Caenorhabditis elegans: one gene and its partner. The protein of the gene in region 2 interacts with the protein of the main gene of each other region in a pairwise test. Each region holds a gene or a part of one and is shown on either strand. Other genes may lie near its edges. The genes, in order: rad-23 and btb-6.

The links.
Region 1: the proteins of btb-6 (region 2) and rad-23 interact in a two-hybrid assay, tested with the Caenorhabditis elegans proteins (2 studies listed by BioGRID).

What each region holds. Positions count from the first base shown.
Region 1 is NC_003280.10:11,650,509-11,654,681, forward strand, and holds rad-23 (UV excision repair protein RAD23), read right to left. Parts: upstream 2,222-4,173; 5' UTR 2,221-2,221; coding exon 2,149-2,220; intron 2,103-2,148; coding exon 2,019-2,102; intron 1,970-2,018; coding exon 1,166-1,969; intron 1,112-1,165; coding exon 1,100-1,111; 3' UTR 754-1,099; downstream 1-753. Other genes in the region: coa-7 (Cytochrome c oxidase assembly factor 7 homolog), read right to left, coding at 82-495, 542-640; rpn-12 (26S proteasome non-ATPase regulatory subunit 8), read left to right, coding at 2,619-2,708, 2,753-2,808, 2,855-2,930, 3,004-3,399, 3,451-3,585; nep-1 (Neprilysin-1), read right to left, coding at 3,965-4,064.
Region 2 is NC_003280.10:1,713,709-1,717,316, reverse strand, and holds btb-6 (BTB domain-containing protein), read right to left. Parts: upstream 2,015-3,608; 5' UTR 1,989-2,014; coding exon 1,891-1,988; intron 1,846-1,890; coding exon 1,407-1,845; intron 1,353-1,406; coding exon 1,214-1,352; intron 1,168-1,213; coding exon 884-1,167; 3' UTR 820-883; downstream 1-819. Other genes in the region: btb-7 (BTB domain-containing protein), read right to left, coding at 3,090-3,304, 3,352-3,502, 3,561-3,608.

The DNA of each region.
Region 1 (4,173 bases), 9.9 Mb from region 2:
AAAGGAACACAAAACATTTTTTAATAGATGCAGGGTGCGCGGCGATCCTTTTTCGCATTATTTTGAAAAACAAAAAAAAACCTTAGCCTCTCCTGCAGCATTCGTCTTAAATTTCTCCTTATTTCCCATATACCAGGTACTCAACAACCAGCAAGCTTCACCATCTTCCAGTTCACAGGCTCTTCTCATGTATCGTTCAGCCTTTTCTGAATCAGCTTTCCGATCTTTTTCTCCATTCCAATGAACAAGTGATAAATATCGACATCCTTGTGGAATATTCGCATCACATGCGATTTTCATCGGTCGAATCATTTTTGACAGACTTGCATCGTCTCCAACTTTTCCGGCTAACATGTACATTCCGTACTTGAAACATGACTTTGGATAACTGTTCTCGTCACAGTTCTTCTTGAAAATCGCTACGGCCGCTTGAAAATTTTGTTGCAGAGCTTCCATGTATTCGCCGAGCAATTGACAGGATTCTGGCCTTTTTTCCTGAAAATTTAACTTCAAAGAAAGATTGAAAATTCAAATTTCTCACTTCGTAGCATCCAAATCTGTACTCAATCCCAATATTTTTCACATATTCCGCCCTTTCGGCCTGTTCCTGCATAGCTTCTTCGCTTATTTTTCCAGACATCTTCAAGTAAAGTGAATTAGCGCATATTCAGAAGAAATGAACGACCGATATTGGAGTACGAAATCGTGATGACTCATTGGGTAAAGTTTGATAAATCGAAACGAAGAATCATTAAAACATTTGACTTTCATTTGAAAATGTTGGATGACAAAAGGGAATTACAATACCGAAATTATGTCACACAAAATTCGCTGAACGCGACGAGAATTTCAACGAAGTGCCTACCAGTAGCGGGTGACAATCAGCACATGGAACTGAATGTGTTATTATCTTAAATATATAGACAAAGGGCAATCGAGAAGGCGATGAATACACATTCTTGGAAGAAGTGTTAATAAAAAAATTAGGCTGATAGGAGCAAGAATATAAGCTTTACGGAAATGGGGGAGAGAGAATAAATTAATTTCTGTTGCAATTTCCAGTGACGGTGATCAGAAGTTATTGGCATGGGTAAGATAATTATTCCTCATCCTGAAATAATTAAAAATTAAACTTCTAATTATCTACGTATGGAAATAAACTCACGAGGTTGCTGAAAATAAAGTTGATAGCGGCTTCCTCGTTTTTGTCACATGCGAAATAAGCCTCCACAACCACAGCTTCTGGTGCATTAACAACTATGGCTTTGATTCTCTCAATAGCAGCAGCTTCTTCGGGACTGAGATGGATAACATGGCGACGTGGGGTGTTTCTTTCTGGCGCATTTCCTGCAGCGGCTCCGGCTCCTTGAGCTCCACCATTCAAAAGATCCATGAAAGCTTGCTGGTTGTTCTGAATAGTCTGAACAAGTCTTGGGTTGACAGCAGCCAACTGCTGAAGGACTGCGGCGAGCATTTCAGGATTTTGTTGAATCAAAGCTCTAATTTCTGCAAGCTGTGGCATGTTTGCAAGCATGTTAAGATCGTCATTGCCATCCTCATCCACGTTATCGATGTTTTGCTCGGGCCCCAAATCTGGTTCTTGGTCAGCAGCATCATCAGGAAGTCCGTTGAGAAGAAACTCGACTGCGCGGTCTGGATTCCAGAATGCTGCGCGCAGAGCAGCGATAGTTTGTTCACGGTCATAGCCCATTCCAGTGATTGCGAGAACGTTCTCTTCTTGCTCATCCGTAAGCGCCTCCGCCTCAGCAGGAGCAGCAGCTTCAGGAGCAACATCGGCAGCTGGGGCTGGGTTTGACGCAGGAGCGGCAGCTACTGGAACAGGCTCAGCAGCTGTGGCAACGGTAGATGAAGGTGCAACTTCTGTGACTTTCCTTTTGCTGAGCATCACAACAACGAACTTCGAAGAATCGAATCCGACTTCTCCGACCTTCACAGAATCGTCGAGAATCTAAAAAAAAAACATACTTTAAAGATATTATGAGCCTTCACTGTAATACCTTTCCGTTGTAGATTAATTTTTGAAGTTCTGGAGCATAATCATCCCCTTTCTCCGAAGCGACCAGAGCCTTTACTTCCGCAATCTGAAAGAAAAATAAAATACAAGTCGAACATTAACTCTAATCTTACCGTCTGATCTTCATTCAATTCCAAATTGAAGTTAACTTGTGTGAGAGTCCTGAATGTAACGGACAAAACCATCCTGCAAAAAATTGTGAAATGTTACGAATAGAGTCATGTATTGAAAGAAAAAGAAATAAATATCGATAACAGATTGATATTAATGCAAAACAAGCAGTATATATGTATAAAATAAACAAACATTTGATTATTAATAAAAGAACAAAACAAAAAAACCATTTTGAAGAACAAAATAAGTGGTAAAAAACAGAAGAGAAAATGGCTTGGCGTCTTAAAGGCGCACATGATTTGAACACTCTTCGTGGCGAGACCTGCCAGAATTGTCATTGTGTCGATTTACGGAGAATGCGTTTATTTCTTTTTTGAATGTTTTATTTTTATTTTTTAACTTCACTTGTGTTTATCGTGAACTTTTATCTTCGATTTTATCAAATTAAAACATTATTGGATTTAAGAAAATGTCTGCCGCCCATAAAAATCTTCTGGCTGTGTGGGCAAAGGAGCCAAAAGATCTTGTCGCAGTTGAGAAGGCTCTGAATGAGTTGACGGTCAGTTAATTGTTTGTCAAATTGTAAATAAATTGAATTTTCAGAAGGTTCTCAGTGCCTCCAGCGATTTGAATGATAAACAGTCTGCATTGGCTTCAAAGTAAGATTTTTCTTTGGTGTAATGAGTTTAAATTATTAATTTTCAGAGATTTGTACGAGATTTCGGTGCTCTTGGCAATTCTGAAGCACGATTTCGAAACGTTCGACGATTACATCAATCAGGTGAGTCTTTAAATAATTATTTGGAAAATTTATGTAATTTTTAACGATCTGTAAATTATTTTTAATTTTCCAGATGCATACCTACTATACAATGGCGCCAGAAAATTCTGAAAACAAGCATTTAATGACTGGACTCCATCTGATGTTCCTGCTCGCTGCCAACAGATTGTCCGACTTCCACATGCTCCTCGAACAAATTCCACAGAAAGAGCAAACATCAAACGCTTACATCTCTACGCCAGTTCGTATTGAACAGAGTCTCATGGAAGGAGCCTACAACAAGGTTGTGCTCACCGAGAAGAATATTCCAAGCCCCTTCTACACTATTTTCATTCGTATTATGCTTGACACCATCCGTCGCGAAATCGCAACATCTATCGAGAAGTCTTTCAAAGTTCTGACAGCGAAGGATGCCACGGTCATGCTTCTGTTCGACAATGACGAACAAATGAAAAAGTTTGGACAAGAGGTAATAATGATTTTTAAAGCTACAAGTATTAAAAAATATATTTATTTACAGAGAAAATGGCATTTGGATGGAGAGCGTTACGTTTTCGAAATTGAGGTGGCTCAGGAGAAGCCTGTGAATTTGGATACAGTGCGAGTCGCAACTCAAACCCTCTTCTACGCCAAGCAACTCGAACAAATCGTTTAACCGGTGTCTTTCAAGAACTCAAGCATTGTATTTGTAAACTGATTTTAATTTATTCGCGTCTTTTTCTCGGTACTGTAAGAAAATGAACTTTCCGATGCATTGTTTTAGCAAGTTTTAATTACATCTGAAAATTTTATTTGCACAAAGATTTCTGGAATGAACAAGAACATCTATCAATATGATATACCAAAAAAAGAAGTTGGAAAAATTCGAGAAAAAATACATAGAGGGACAAAATACAGTGAATTCGAGTGTCTATTGTTTTCAACAATATATACAGCTAGATGAGTAAAAAAAAAGGACGAAAGATTTAGTAGATTCTGAGAGACAGATAGATAAAGCGTGCCAACTTGGTTGACTCCTTTCCCGTATTTTCTGATTACCACACAACACAGCGTTTCGTTGGATTCATCGGAGATCCAGCTGGACATTTGAAAGCCTCGGCAAATTCTGGCTGATTTGTTAGAACCGTGTTCACTCTGAAAAAATTATAAATAATTGTTGCCAAAAAAGTTGAATGAACGATGATGTGTATTGCGTAACATATTTTTGAATATCTTGTAGCGAAAACTACATGTAAATAGTAAA
Region 2 (3,608 bases):
ATTTCATGTTAATTTTAGGTAATTTTTTCTCTGAAACGACCTAAAAATTGAACAAAAAGAACATAATTTTAATTCTCACGTAAAATTGTTTGGTAATTTGCTCAGTGCTTCAACTGTTTTAATGAAAATTTAAAAAATTCCACGTGAGAATTAAAATTATGTTCTTTTTGTTTAATTTTTAGGTCATTTCAGAGAAGAATTCACCTAAAATGAATATGAATTTCGTAAATAGCGTGTTTTCAGCTTTCTAAAAATATTTTTTTCGACCCAAAAATCGCAAATTGATTTTTTCGTTCATTTTTCGAAAAGCAAAAGTCCGATTTCATTTTTCGGAGCGAAGGACGATTTTGGAGATGGACAGTGTTTTTTGAAAGATTTTTTAGGACATTGTAGAGACCTCAAAAAAGTGATCATTTTTGAAAATTTCAAGTCGGATATGAAGAGTTTTATGAGCGAAATTGGATTTTTTTCAGAAAACGGTCTGTAACTTGGCGGAACATAAAAATATCAAGAAACTTTAAACTGATAAAATATGGAAAAATATTTTTTACTTACCATTTAACAAAATTTATCTTTTGAAATTCAATGAAAGTTGAGTTATGAAGGATACAACAAAAGAGTTCTCAAAATTTTTCGTGAATTTTGGAAAAATGGCTTTGACTCTGTGTAACTCTACAAGTAGTTGGTGTGTTGATATACAAATTAATGTAGTAGAAAGAACAAATATTTCTGATCATTTTGTTAGTTGTGCAATTGTTTTTCAGACTTTTATTTTTTAAGATACGCCACTTTGAAGATACTTGGTTTAGCGATTCACATAAACTTTCGATAATTTATTTTCACAACAAAAAAGGACAATTCAAACGTAGCAACATAATAAAAATCAATTAATCAGCAATTGCATGAGACGATCCGAGATCTTGCCTCTAGCAAAATCCGACAATTTCTTGTAATCATCGGATCCTCCGAACTTCTTTGCCTTGTCCAGGCTGTTCATCTCTTGGATTGCCTTTTCCAGAAGCTTCTGCAATTCGTACTTGTCGGCCAGGAAGATCAATCTCTCATTGGAAAAATTGGTTCCACGAGTGAAGTGGTGTTCGACCTGGTGAATGACACATGAAATTTTGAACCGATTTCCTAGATGGAGAAGCTTCTCAGCGTTTTGATCTGAAAAATATATTAATTATTGTGACATCATAGTAGGCTTCCTTACCATTGACAAAGCCTGTTTCGGGGTGGATGATGCTCATGAGAAGGCCGAAATCCTCGTAGGACACATCTTCAAGCCTAATCTCCTCATTGATCTTATCAGCGAACAGATCGGAGAAATAGTCCGAGTGGTAGGAGAGGAACTGCAATTTTTGGGTTTAGTTTAACGAAAAGATCTTGTGAACCACAAAACTCACCGCCTTGCTCACATGAAGCTTCTTCTCCCCGATCAAGAGCACCGCATCGTGTCGGTTGGATGGCGCGAACAATTTCTCATAGGAAACATCACTACCAATTTCATGATCAGTAGGCTTGTGCTCCGGGACTTTCTGACCGGGGCTCTTTTTTGGCGTAAGAGCCACTTTGTTATCCGAGCACTTCTCCTGGCAACAATTGGGCGTAAGAGAGTACTTACATCGTAGGTAATTATAATCGAAAACATTCCAATTAATTTTTTGTGCATAACATTGTCCTGGTTTGTCAAGGGTAATACTCTCAAGTTGTTGGTTACAGCTCCCTCCCGAGTTATCAAATATCCACGTGAATGTGCCAGTTAGATCCTTAATCACTTTTTGATCCCAATCAAATTTCACTGTAGACAGAAACTGGTCATCAGGATTGAAAATTGAGACATTGCTGAAAATTGTATTGTTATATAAATGTTAAATAAAAAACACTCACCATTTTAATCCATTACAATCGCTGTAAAAAGTGATAGGCAGGGTAGCATACATCCAATCGCTTGCGAACTCCAGGGTTTCATTTTTAGTTTTGTCCATGGTGTCCATTAATTTCTCCAGGCGGTCTAGGAACACCAAAAATTAAATTTAAAAAATAAGCAGAGAAATAGGGAACGGTGATAATGGTGGGCCACAAGTGAAGAGAATGAATGAGCACGTTCAGATAATGCGCAGGTAGATTACATATGGAGTATCGATTTTTTTGATGAACGCGTTCGGAGACTGGGAAAAGACTGTTTTAGACCTTGGGAGGGTATGTATGTAATGAGGGCAGTGTAGCGGTGTACCAGGCCTGACTCGCCTCGTCCCCGTCAACTGTCTTTCTGCTAAATGGACAGGAATAGCGAACCACCGCTCTCTGCCCAGGAGACTACTCTCCTGGGAAGTGACACAGACATGAACTACGGAGTGCGCAGATATAGCCTTTTTTGAAAAGAGTATTCTGAGTGATATTGTGAGAGACTCGTGGTGCATCGATTGGCAAGTTCAGGAGCTGGGAAGAGGCCGGTGGATCCTTGGGAAAGTGAACATCTGTTGGGTGTCTTATAATCTTCCGATCAGGTAGTCAGAGGAGACAATAGCAGTCTTGGCGTCACGACGAGTTAGCTACAAACAATTGTGACTGAATATTCATAGATGGCTTTCTTCTAGAAAACTTCTAGAACTTCTAGAACTTCTAAACTTTCAGAAAATTCTAAATAAATAGGTGAAAACTTGTTTCCTTGGAAATCACAAAAAATACGCATAACAAAGTACGTAGATCAAATTTCCAGACAGGAGTAGCAAATTTTCTTCAATTTCTCCAACTTGTAGCGATCGAATTCTCCATATTTCTGTAAAATCTTTGATGCACCATGTTTAAATTACAGAATTTTCCCACCGACTGAGAACAATTGGCTGAGAAATCTATTTTGACCCATTTTGAAAAAAAAAACGTTGTATTCCAGATTTACAGAGTATTGCAAATTTTGAGAGGGCAAAGATATATTTTTATACAAGGGAAACTTTCTAATATAACTTTTCATAAAGATTTTCTAACCGAGAAATGCGAAAAATTAACTAGAATCGGACGAGGAACTGCTTCTGCTGGAGCTGCTGGAACTGGAACTCTCGCTGGATTCAGATTCACTTTCCGACTCGTCACTGGACCGAAATGGGCACCTCTCCCGGGGTTTTGTTTCCTCCATCGCAAGTGCACTCCTTGAGCAGATCCTTCATTCCAAACGTGTTCGCCATCAGAATCAGCTTTTCAATTTCAATATCCGAATGCCAGAGCAGATGGTGTTCCACTTGCGCGGTGACCGCCCGCATTTGGAATCGATTGGCGAGCGTCAGAAGCTTCGCGGCGGTCTTGTCTGGAAAATTGTATTTTTGACAATTTAAGCAAAAATATGCCACAAACCCGTGGGAAACACTAGATCCGGGTAGATTGTGCTGAGAAGAAGACCCATATCCTCAGCGGAGACGTCACGAATTGGGATCTCTGGAATCTCGCTTTCTGTGGAGCTCGCCGAGAACAACTCGTGGAAGAAGTCCGAATGGAAGGAGAGGAACTGGAAATTTATGGATTTTTACAGTTTTTGGGTTTTTGGTGAATTTAGATAGGCTCACCGCTTTATTAACATGAAGTTTTTCGCCACCAATCATCAAAATCGCATC